Linked DNA regions of Rattus norvegicus. The protein of the gene in region 1 interacts with the protein of each later gene in a biochemical or structural test. Links are inferred from orthologs where the notes say so. Each region holds a gene or a part of one and is shown in the gene's direction. Other genes may lie near its edges.

Region 1 (3,653 bases):
GATGTAATAGATGAAGCCCATTGCCTCAGATATTGGAAGAGAAAGACCCTGACGTCCCTTCATGGACACAGCCCGTGACGGAACTTCCTCTTATTGGCCTAATCTCAGTCTGGCACCCAAGCTGTGACTACCCGGGCAGTGGCAATGAGGAAGGACTTTGAGATCCAAATTACAGCATAAGAGAGAGCTTTGGGGTTTCTCAGTAGCAACAGTTCCTGGTGGTTGGCTGGGACATCCTGTTCAAGTGGTACACCTTCTTCTGGCCTGATAGTCACCAGTGCTGAGCTACTGCGTAAGGTGTTAAGATGGGGTTCCACAGTCAGAGGAGTGGGTAAGAAGGGGAGGGCACGAAGGGAAATGTGCTCAACACAGAATATGCATTTATATGTAAACATGGATGGATGGATGGATGGATGGATGAGTGGATGATGGATGAATGGATGGATGGATGGATGAGTGGATGAGTGGATGATGGATGGATGGATGGATGGATGAGTGGATGGGTGGATGGGTGGATGGATGGATGATGAAGGGAGGGAGGGATGGAGGGAGGGAAGGATGGATGAATGAATGGATGGCTGGATGATGGATGGATGATGGATGGATGATGGATGGATGGATGATGGATGAATGGATGAGTGGATGATGGATGGATGATAGATGGATGGATGGATGGATGGATGATGGATGGATGGGTGGAGAGATGGATAGATGATGGGTAGATGGAGAGATTGGATGGATGGGTGGATGATGGATGAATGGATGAGTGGATGATGGAGGGAGGGAGGGAGGGATGGATGATGGATGGATGGATGGGTGGATGGAGAGATGGATGGATGATGGGTGGATGGATGGATGGTTGGAGTTTCTGAAGAGCAGTTCCATTGTAGCTGGCTGACTGGAGTAGTAGCCTCCAGTGGGGTGGGCTTACATCACTCTTTCTTCAATGCACTGGGCTTACGTTACTCTTTCCCCATTTAGATAATTCCATTCAGAGCATGATCACTTTTGACCAGGGAGGACGGTGGGAGCATCTGCAGAAGCCGGAGAACAGCAAGTGCGATGCTACCGCAAAGAACAAGAATGAGGTTTGTTGGTGCCAACCATCATCTGTGTGTGCAGAAAAGCAGCCAGCCTGCTCTGTTCCTGCCAATGCTGAGCTTTTCCATGATGAAATCTCATTCTTGGTCAGGGTCCAGAGGCGAAGGTGGAAGGCTTAGAAATGAGAATAATGAATTTACTTAGGATTCGTGAAGTAGAAACTGTACGGAGAAGCCAAGATACTGTGGCTTGCCTGACTTTTTAAAAGAAAAACAAGATGGAGTAACAACCATTTGTTTTACCAAATTTCTGAGGGGAGACAGAATGGACAGATGTACTTATTGTTAGCTAAGGATCTACATGGTGGGGTGAGGCCTTGGAAGTCCTTCAGGGGCCAAAGAGCAGCCTGTATTATAGGTGTGGGTAGGCACAGCCTGGAAGAACTTAGTTCAACAACAGTGAAGCTGGTTGTTCCCACATTCCTCTCAGACCTGTTACACACAGGGCCCCTCTGCTTCTCCAGCCTGGAGTCTTTTTGTGGGGAATCTCACATGGCGTGACACCTTCTCCTCACACTCTCCTTTCGTATCCATACTTAATGCATCTGCTTCTATTTTCTCCATCCTTCTGTTCTTCTGCCTTGGGTTTGTGCTACCCCTGCCCAGTTCACCATGCCCAAGGCAGGGGCTATAGTCTCTTCTCTCCTTGGCGCTTTCTGGCTCCCCTGGCTCCCTCAAGACCTTCTCTTGGTTTCGCTTTACTGGGGTAAAGACTGAGCCTCTCTTGTGAATGAAAGCTTTGTCCTGCCTGGCTCTGTCTACCTCTCCCCACCGACACACCCTTGCTGTTCTCTATACACCCTCTGTATCCTCCCAGTGTCCTCACAGAAGCCACGTCTGTGTCCCTAAACCCCGGCTGGTTGTAATCTGCAGTAGTCCTAGCCTACCTTGGCGCCCATCCAGTTAGAACCAGTCATCATTCTTATTCCACTAATAGTTGGCTTAGCCTTTTGCAAAATAAGAAAACATAATGTTTACTATTGTGACCACTTGAGATCTATCTGCTTGTGTGAGACAGGATCTCATGTGTGGCTCTGACTGGGCCTGTGTAGACCAGGCTAATCTCGAGGTCATATGTATCTGTATCTGTGAGCCCTGTCTTTTAAGTGTGGATATTACACGCCTGCCTCATATGAGCTCCTTGAATGGCACTAGTGGTTAGACTGCCTTCACACATTTGCCTACTTTCTGACATGTGCTTTTCCCTCAGCATCAGTAAGGTATAGTTGATAAATTTAAATGGCATATATTCATAATGTATGGTTTGACATTTTCCTGTCTGTATACATTGTAAGATATATGACCATAGTCAAGCTAATTAATGCATACATCAGTTAACTAAGCTATCTCTTTCTTATGTGTGATTCGAGCATTTAGACCTATTCTCTTAGCAGATTTCAAGTATGTCACACAGTTTGCAGGATGCGGTCCATAATGCTTACTAGCTCTTCAGAACTTACTTGTCCAAAACAGAAGCTTCAGAACCTTTTCGCCAATATCGCCCCCCCTGTCTTTTTTTTTTTTTTTAAAGATTTTACTTATTTATTTTATGTATTTGACTACACTGTAGCTGTCTTCATGCACACCAGAAGAGGGCATCAGATCCCATTACAGATGGTTGTGAGCCACCATGTGGTTGCTGGGAATTAAATTTAGGACCTCTGCAAGAGCAGTCAGTGCTCTTAACCTCTGTACCATCCCCCCAGCTCCCACTCCCCTGTTTTTTAAAGATTTTATTTTCCCCTCCCTGTCTTGCCTCCTGATCCCTGGCAGCTACCACTGTGCTCTCTGCTTGTATGAGTTTAGTGTGTTTTGTCGATTCCACATTTAAGTGACATCATGTGGCATTTGTCTTTCATGCCTAGTTTATTTTACATAGCAGACAGCCTCCTGGGCTCATCCATGTGGTTGCAAACAGCAGGCTGTCCTTTGTTGAGAATGATTAACATCCCATTGTGCATGCACTGTATCCTCTCTTTATGCATTCATCTAGCAAAAGAGACATAGACTGGGGGCCGGAGAGATGGCTTAGCAGTTAAGAGCACTGGCTGCTCTCCCAGAGGACCCAGATTGAATTCCTAGCACCCACATATGGCAACTCCAGCTCCAGGGACCTGACACCCTCACACACACATGCATGCAAGCAAAACACCAAATGCATATAAAATAAAAATAAATCGATCACTAAAAAGAAGAAGCTACATGGGTTGGTTCTATACCTCGAGTTAAGCCATAGTGCGTGTAGACTGTAGTTATCACCCTGAGGTTCTTTTTTTTTTAAAGATTTATTTATTTATTATTATATATAAGTACACTGTAGCTGTCTTCAGAAACCAGAAGAAGGCATCAGATCGCATTACAGATGGTTGTGAGCCACCATGTGGTTGCTGGGATTTGAACTCAGGACCTCTGGAAGAGCAGTCAGTGCTCTCAACCGCTGAGCCATCTCTCCAGCCCTTCACCCTGAGGTTCTAACGTCATCTCTTAGCTAAATACCACTCAGTAGTCTTGCTGGCATATCTGTCTTCCATTTTAGAGGAGACACCACAGTGT
Region 2 (3,753 bases), on another chromosome or scaffold:
GGAACACCCATAAGGAAGGGGAGGGGGGAGGGGGATGTTTGCCCGGAAACCGGGAAAGGGAATAACACTCGAAATGTATATAAGAAATACTCAAGTTAATAAAAAAAGAAAAAGAAAAAAAAAACCTGGAAAGGAGTCTAGGAGGAATCACAAAGGGGGTGGGGGGACCTCCCCAACTATACACACACACACACACACACACACACACACACACACACACACACACATATAGACTGAGCAGGACACACACACACACACACACACACACACACACACAGAGTTTATTGCAGCACTCTCTGCTGCCTTCTGAGATCCTCTGCAGGCTGGGGCACACAAAGTAAGGACTAGATGCCAACTCGCCCAGTTTAACAGGGAGAGAGAGCAAGAACCCACTCATCTTCTAAACTGGAAAAGACAAGAAAAGGAGAAGAGAGGGGGAACAACCAAAGAGTAGAGAAGAGAAAACAGGAATAGGAAACCCTTCACAGCGCCTGTTCAGGGAGCAAGGAGCTGCTCGTCCCCAGAGGAAGGGTACTCTGGCTGCTTGCGGGGACTCTGCGCTCCTTGGGGAGGGTCGGGGACAGCACAGCCCGCGCCCGCCTCCCTGTACACAGCGCAGCTCGCCGGCGGGACGCAGCGCCCGGAGCCCTGGCAGAGCCCGCCCTCCCTCCCGCGTCGCCAGCCGGCGCGCGGCGCCCTCTCTGCCCGTGACTTCAGTTCGGCTCCACCCCCGCGCAGCGGCGGCGGCGGCGGCGGTGGCTCGCAGCTCCGTCCCAACCCGCGCGCTCCTCACAAGCCCAGCCTGGGCGAGCGGCAGGCACCTGCCCGGCGCCGCCTCCGCGCGCCCCGCCGCCGCCCAACTTGGATGGAGTTGTGGTCCTGAGCGCACACCCTGCCGCCGTCAGCCCAGTGCCTCGCTCCGCTGCCTGCCTTCGGTTCGGGACCCCCTCTCCGCTCCTCTCCGCTCCAGAGATGGGAAAAGTTGGCGCCGGGGACGGCTCCTCGGCCGCGCTTAGCGCGCTCCTAACGGGAGCCGGGCTTCTGATGCTCTTAGCCCCTGGCATCTGCAGCAGCCTTTCTTGCTGCCCTCCGCAACACCCTAGCTCGACCCCACGCTGGACCCTTACCCCAAGAGGCTTTTCTTACCCCGGACCGCTGGGTCGGGCTCCTGCCACGCCCCCGCCCCTCTTCATGAGACCCCTGTTCGCAGTGGCCCCCGGGGACCGGGCGCTGTTTCTGGAGCGAGCTGGGGGCAGCAGGGTGTCAGTGGCGACCGCTTCACGCTCTGGCCGTAGGAGACGGAGTGGAATGGATCCTGAGAAGACTGAACCCGGAGAGGGTACGAGTCGGAGCCGCCGGGACATGCTAAGGGATGGAGGGCAGCAGGGGCCTGGGACTGGCGCGCGGGACCCGGACAAAGCCACTCGCTTCCGGATGGAGGAGCTGAGATTGACCAGCACCACATTTGCGCTGACTGGAGACTCGGCACACAACCAAGCTATGGTCCACTGGTCTGGCCACAACAGCAGCGTGAGTAAAGTGGAACTGTGGGCAAAGGGGTGAGAGAAGGAAAGGGTTACCATTCACTGTGAGAGCTGGTGGAGAATTGGGGGAAAGGGGTTTCTTTCTTGGGAGATGCTGCACAGTGAAGTCTTCCCATCTGGCCTCCCCCCAAGAGTTAATGGTGCCTACTAGGGAGTCCCCACCACCACCTTCAGAGTCTTCTCCAGATCAAAAGGTTCAAACTGGAACGGAACAGGCAGATCTTTTTTATTTCTTCAATGACACTGGAGAGTGGAACTGAAGACCAACTGTGGGGGTGGTGTGTGCGTTAAAGTATTTTTAATGCAGTGCTGAAAGGGTTAAATTTCCAAGCCCACTGAAATTCACTGAAGGGACATTTCCTTACCTGATAGACTTACTGGGGGTGCACGGAGAAGTCGCATCTGTGGGTTTTTTATTTTATTATTATTCAGAGCTCCTAGACCCTTGTTCCACCCCAGAGAAGGCAAACTGCAGTAGGATATAAGGTGCCCTTTGGTATTAGGATCTATTTGGGGACCAAACGGATGCAAGTTTCAGTGCAGAGGCTTCCCAGCATCTCCTGACAGCATTAGCAAGTGCATCTTGAGAGTCAGGCTTTTCTAACCCATGAAAGGGCAGTTGTTCTCTGGCATGGTCAGCCTGGGGAAGATCAGATAGATAGATTCCAGTGACAACAACTCCCTGTTTTCCCACCGACTGACCTCCTCTAGGGAGGAGCTCAAATAAAGATTTGAGTTTCCCTTTATGAAGAACAGGACGAGATTTCAGTCGCTGAGAAAAGATTTAGGGTGCAACTCACTGTTTCTATCAGGAGCTTCCGATTTTCAGAGAAGCCTGTATGTTTGAAATCTGAGGAAGCTACCCAGTTTAGCCCAAACCTAGAAACTTCAATGCGCTGAAATAGTAACGAAGCAGCTTTGATGGTAATAACTGAAGATTTAAAAGCGCGTAAAGTTCTTTAGACTGCCGTGCCATGAACCATGAAGGCGAGAAGAAAAGTTAAAGGTTTATAAAATGGGGATTGGGGGTTAGGTGGGGGTGGGGGTAGGGGGAGGATCTCAACTGCAGCTTCCATCCCCTGATGGAGTTGTGTCTGTAATGTGCACGGTGGCTACAACATGGTACCTTTGAAACTGTTTCCAGGAAGCTTGCCAACAAGTGCCACTTCACTGAGCTGTGTTCATTGTTGGGTTTTTAATGAGAGTTGAGAAGGTTTTGAAATATACAGTGTCATGCATTAGGCGGTCTAGCCTACCCTCTACTGAGGACAGCCCCTGATTTCTGTCTATTGCAGCCTTCATGTGGGGCTGCTGCTGGAGGTTCTCAGAAACGGTTTTAATCAAAATCTAAAGTTGAAGCAATTCCTACTCAAGTTCTGGACACTCTTGTCCTGGAGCACTGTGCGATCTACATCTTTTGTCTAATTGTTGCTGAACTTGATCCTTTCATTTTAACGTGGATCTTCCAATACTGACTAATAACTCCAGCTCCATTAAGTGATTAACTCAGAGCTCTGGCTTTAGGAGGAGATTTTCAATGTATCCAATGTGTTAGATCTTGTTGTATTAAGAAGAAGAAAAAAAAAAGAAAGATAAAACTTTGGACCAAAATATTTCTGGCTTTTAACGTAATTCAGGTTGTAAAATGTCGCTCACCCATTAAACCTCTACTTCAGTTCATCTCTTAAAAGATCTTGGAAAGAGAGTACATCCTTGGCAAATTTTAACCTCCATTTAGAAATGGCGCCAAGCACTGCCAGCTTTTAATTTTTTTTTTTTTTTGATGCACATGAGCTGAATGGGGCTTACTAGAATTGTGGCTTAGGGCAGGAACATGAATCTAAGATAATGTAGGAAATAATGAAGGTGCTGAGTGTTAAAGGCTGAACACTCAAATTATGCTAAGCACAGTGATGAGGGGGGCTCATACCTCACAGTTCCCTCCCGTCCTCTCTCCTCCCAGGTCCAGCTCTAAGCATCTCATGTAACTGCTTTATCTATCTTATTATGTATTGTCTAGATGATGAAGAAAGAGAAAACATTGTTTATCCAGTTCCATTAAGGAACCCGGGAGAGCAAAACGTTAAAGCATTTTGTAAAGAGGAACGATGCAGAAAGACACTTTGGCTAACTTTGTGCAATGGAAGCGTAGAAAGACCTGAATCCTGTTTCACTCCTTAGTGTTTTACTACAGCATGGGCAACATGCT
Region 3 (3,653 bases), on another chromosome or scaffold:
AAAAAAAAAGAAAAAGAAAAAAAGAAAGAAAAAAGGTCTGAAATTACAAGCAGATGGGCCACATGGTGTCCCCAAGAAAGTAAGGTCTAACCTGTTCTGTGTCTGTCTCTGCTTCCTTCCCACAGTTCCACCAGGTGAGAAGAGTGATGACCATCCTTTTCCTTACTATGGTTATTTCATACTTCGGTTGCATGAAGGCTGCGCCCATGAAAGAAGCAAACGTCCACGGACAAGGCAACTTGGCCTACCCAGCTGTGCGGACCCATGGGACTCTGGAGAGCGTGAATGGGCCCAGGGCAGGTTCGAGAGGTCTGACGACGACGTCCCTGGCTGACACTTTTGAGCACGTGATCGAAGAGCTGCTGGATGAGGACCAGAAGGTTCGGCCCAACGAAGAAAACCATAAGGACGCGGACTTGTACACTTCCCGGGTGATGCTCAGCAGTCAAGTGCCTTTGGAGCCTCCTCTGCTCTTTCTGCTGGAGGAATACAAAAATTACCTGGATGCCGCAAACATGTCTATGAGGGTTCGGCGCCACTCCGACCCCGCCCGCCGTGGGGAGCTGAGCGTGTGTGACAGTATTAGCGAGTGGGTCACAGCGGCAGATAAAAAGACTGCAGTGGACATGTCCGGTGGGACGGTCACAGTCCTGGAGAAAGTCCCGGTATCAAAAGGCCAACTGAAGCAATATTTCTACGAGACCAAGTGTAATCCCATGGGTTACACGAAGGAAGGCTGCAGGGGCATAGACAAAAGGCACTGGAACTCGCAATGCCGAACTACCCAATCGTATGTTCGGGCCCTTACTATGGATAGCAAAAAGAGAATTGGCTGGCGGTTCATAAGGATAGACACTTCCTGTGTATGTACACTGACCATTAAAAGGGGAAGATAGTGGATTTATGTTGTATAGATTATATTGAGACAAAAATTATCTATTTGTATATATACATAACAGGGTAAATTATTCAGTTAAGAAAAAGATAATTTTATGAACTGCATGTATAAATGAAGTTTATACAGTACAGTGGTTCTACAATCTATTTATTGGACATATCCATGACCAGAAAGAAACAGTCATTTGCGCACAACTTTAAAAGTCTGCATTACATTCCTCGATAATGTTGTGGTTTGTTGCCGTTGCCAAGAATTGAAAACAAAAAGTTAAAAAAAATAATAAATTGCATGCTGCTTTAATTGTGAATTGATAATAAACTGTCCCTCTTTCAGAAAACAGACAAAAAAACAAAAAACAAAAAAAAGCAAAAACAAAAATTTGAACCAAAACATTCCGTTTACATTTTAGACACTAAGTATCTTCGTTCTTGTTAGTACTCTGTTCTACTGCTTTCAACTTCTCATAGCGTTGGAATTAAAACTATGTCAAGGTGCTGTTGTCATTGCTTTACTGGCTTAGGGGATGGGGAACGGGAGGGGTAGATTTCTGTTTGTTTTGTGTTTTATTTCGTTTGTTTGTTTGTTTTGTTTTTTTAGTTCCACCCGGAGTAGGGATGGAGAAAATTTCTTCACTCTCCATTCTGGTTGATAAAGCGTTACATTTGTATGTTGTAAAAAATGTTTGCAAAATCCAATCAGATGACTGGAAAACGAATAAAAATTAAGGCAACTGAATAAAATGCTCACACAACACTGCCCATGATGTATCTCCCTGGTCCCCCAGGTCACTCTTCTGGCATGGGTCAGGGAAAGCTGCTTTTATTGGAAAGACCAGCATTTGTTTAAAGCACATTCTTTCCCTCCCTCCTCCCATTTTGGTCCCTTTCTTTTTTGTTTTGTTTTAAGAAAGAAAATTAAGTTGCGCGCTTTGAAATATTTTATCACTGCTGTGAACAGATGAACAATGTGTGTCATTTCATGACACTCGTGGAAAACAGTGATTTTTTTTTTATTTTTTGCCCTAAGGAGAAACAAGTAAGAATAACCGAAAATGTTCTTTTTTTTTAAAGGCATAAACAGTGGATAAGTTATAATATGGCCTAACAATGTTTGCAGATAAAAGATATTGCATACAGCCAGATACTAGAGCAGGGATCCACACTGCCACTGAAATGCGACTGAATGGCCCTGTGGAGGCTAAGTGGAGCTGACATACTATTTCCTGGCAGAGCAGGAGGAATTTCTGAGTGGCCATCCTGAGGTCTAGATGGAGGTGGGGAATGGTACTTGAGACATTCCTAAAGGAAGGCTCGGAAGCACCCTTCAGAGCAGGCTCTGGAATGATGTGTCAAGTTTCTTAGGCCTTCTGCTTTAAGTGCCTACGTTACCTAACAGTGCTCAAGAGGTTCTCAATTGGAGAACCACACTCAAATCCATTTATGGCCTCCATCCCATTTTAAATAATTATGGATAAAGTTGGATTAACCTGGAGCAGCTTTGGATCCAAATATGGCATAGCAGTGATGCTATCAGTGCAGCATGATGGGAAATGTTTGCTGTGAAGAGACTTAACTTTCTTTGCGCTTAGACTTCAGGAAGCCTAGGTTTTATTTATTTATTTTTTTGAGACATTTTGGTGAAAGGAAAAAAGAAAGAAGAAAACAAACAAACAAAACCAGAAAAAGCACCAAAACTTAGGCAGAATGAGCAATGTCTGTCTGTAAGGGCTAGAATGACAAGGCATAGGAAGGTGCTTTCACTGTGAAAGAGACAAGAACACAGGAGGAAATACTGCTTAAGTGAAGAGCACAGAAAGCTCCTGATAGTTCTGTCCATTCAGCACAAGGGTCCCTTCTACACTTTACCTCTTGGGGTTAGGAGAAGTCAAGCTGGAAGCCTGAATGAATGGCCCCAATGAGAACTAGTGTTAAGCCCATTTCCCTAGTGAGGTTTTCCGCCAGCGCGAATGTGTTAGTGGTTACCTGACTGGGCTCCTGGGCATCAGAAAAAGAGGCAAACAATTGCTTCATCTTAGGAGTGGAAAGGGTGAAACAAAGTGGCTGTCCACTGTGACTCAGGGAGTGAAGATACCATCAGCAAATAGTTTCTTTTTGTTCAACTGTTCCTTTAGAACTAGTCTGTCTTCTGGAGTCCCACTGAATCCCCTGTTTTTGGAAGACTTCACGTAGCCTAGATTGTTTTGTGCCGTTTGACAACATTAATCTCTGTCATCATTTTTAACCTATTAAGGAATGCTTTGAATATCTGCTATATGCTAACTTTTTGCAGCTTCATTCTGAGAGACGTTAGTCAAACAAATAAAAGGAGCCCCATCACAATCTCACGGTATTCGAAGGGCCAGGTCGATTAGGTGGCTTCATAGGAGACCCTCCGCAACTGTGTGGTCAGTGGCTGGCTCTCATACCCACTAAGATACATCATAGCTCCATGTCGGTGGTTTATGTTGACCTGAGATTGATTTGTTAAAATCTCTCCTCTGTTTCTGTTCGTTCTGTTTCCGTCCTGTTCTGTTCTGTTCTGTTCTGAAAGTCTTGCTGTGGTCTCTTTTTGGCAGAAGTGTTTCATGCATGGCAGCAGGCCTGATGCTTTTTATAGTGATTCCCATTGAAACTGTAAGTAAATGTCTGTGGCCTTGTTCTCTCTATGGTAAAGATATTATTCACCATGTAAAACAAGAAAAATATTTATTGTATTTTAGTATATTTATATAATTATGTTATTGAAAAAAATTGGC

Evidence for each region.
Region 2: the proteins of Sort1 (region 1) and Sorcs1 form a complex in vitro, tested with the Homo sapiens proteins (2 studies listed by BioGRID and IntAct, with this or other methods). The link is inferred for Rattus norvegicus from reciprocal best matches to the Homo sapiens genes SORT1 and SORCS1.
Region 3: the proteins of Sort1 (region 1) and Bdnf form a complex in vitro, tested with the Homo sapiens proteins (2 studies listed by BioGRID and IntAct, with this or other methods). The link is inferred for Rattus norvegicus from reciprocal best matches to the Homo sapiens genes SORT1 and BDNF.

Annotation. Positions count from the first base shown.
Region 1 is NC_086020.1:198,667,973-198,671,625, forward strand, and holds part of Sort1 (sortilin precursor), read left to right. Parts: intron 1-981; coding exon 982-1,088; intron 1,089-3,653.
Region 2 is NC_086019.1:259,532,706-259,536,458, reverse strand, and holds the start of Sorcs1 (VPS10 domain-containing receptor SorCS1 precursor), read left to right. Parts: upstream 1-972; coding exon 973-1,530; intron 1,531-3,753.
Region 3 is NC_086021.1:116,666,430-116,670,082, forward strand, and holds part of Bdnf (brain-derived neurotrophic factor), read left to right. Parts: intron 1-125; coding exon 126-896; 3' UTR 897-3,653. UniProt on the Homo sapiens protein: Important signaling molecule that activates signaling cascades downstream of NTRK2. During development, promotes the survival and differentiation of selected neuronal populations of the peripheral and central nervous systems.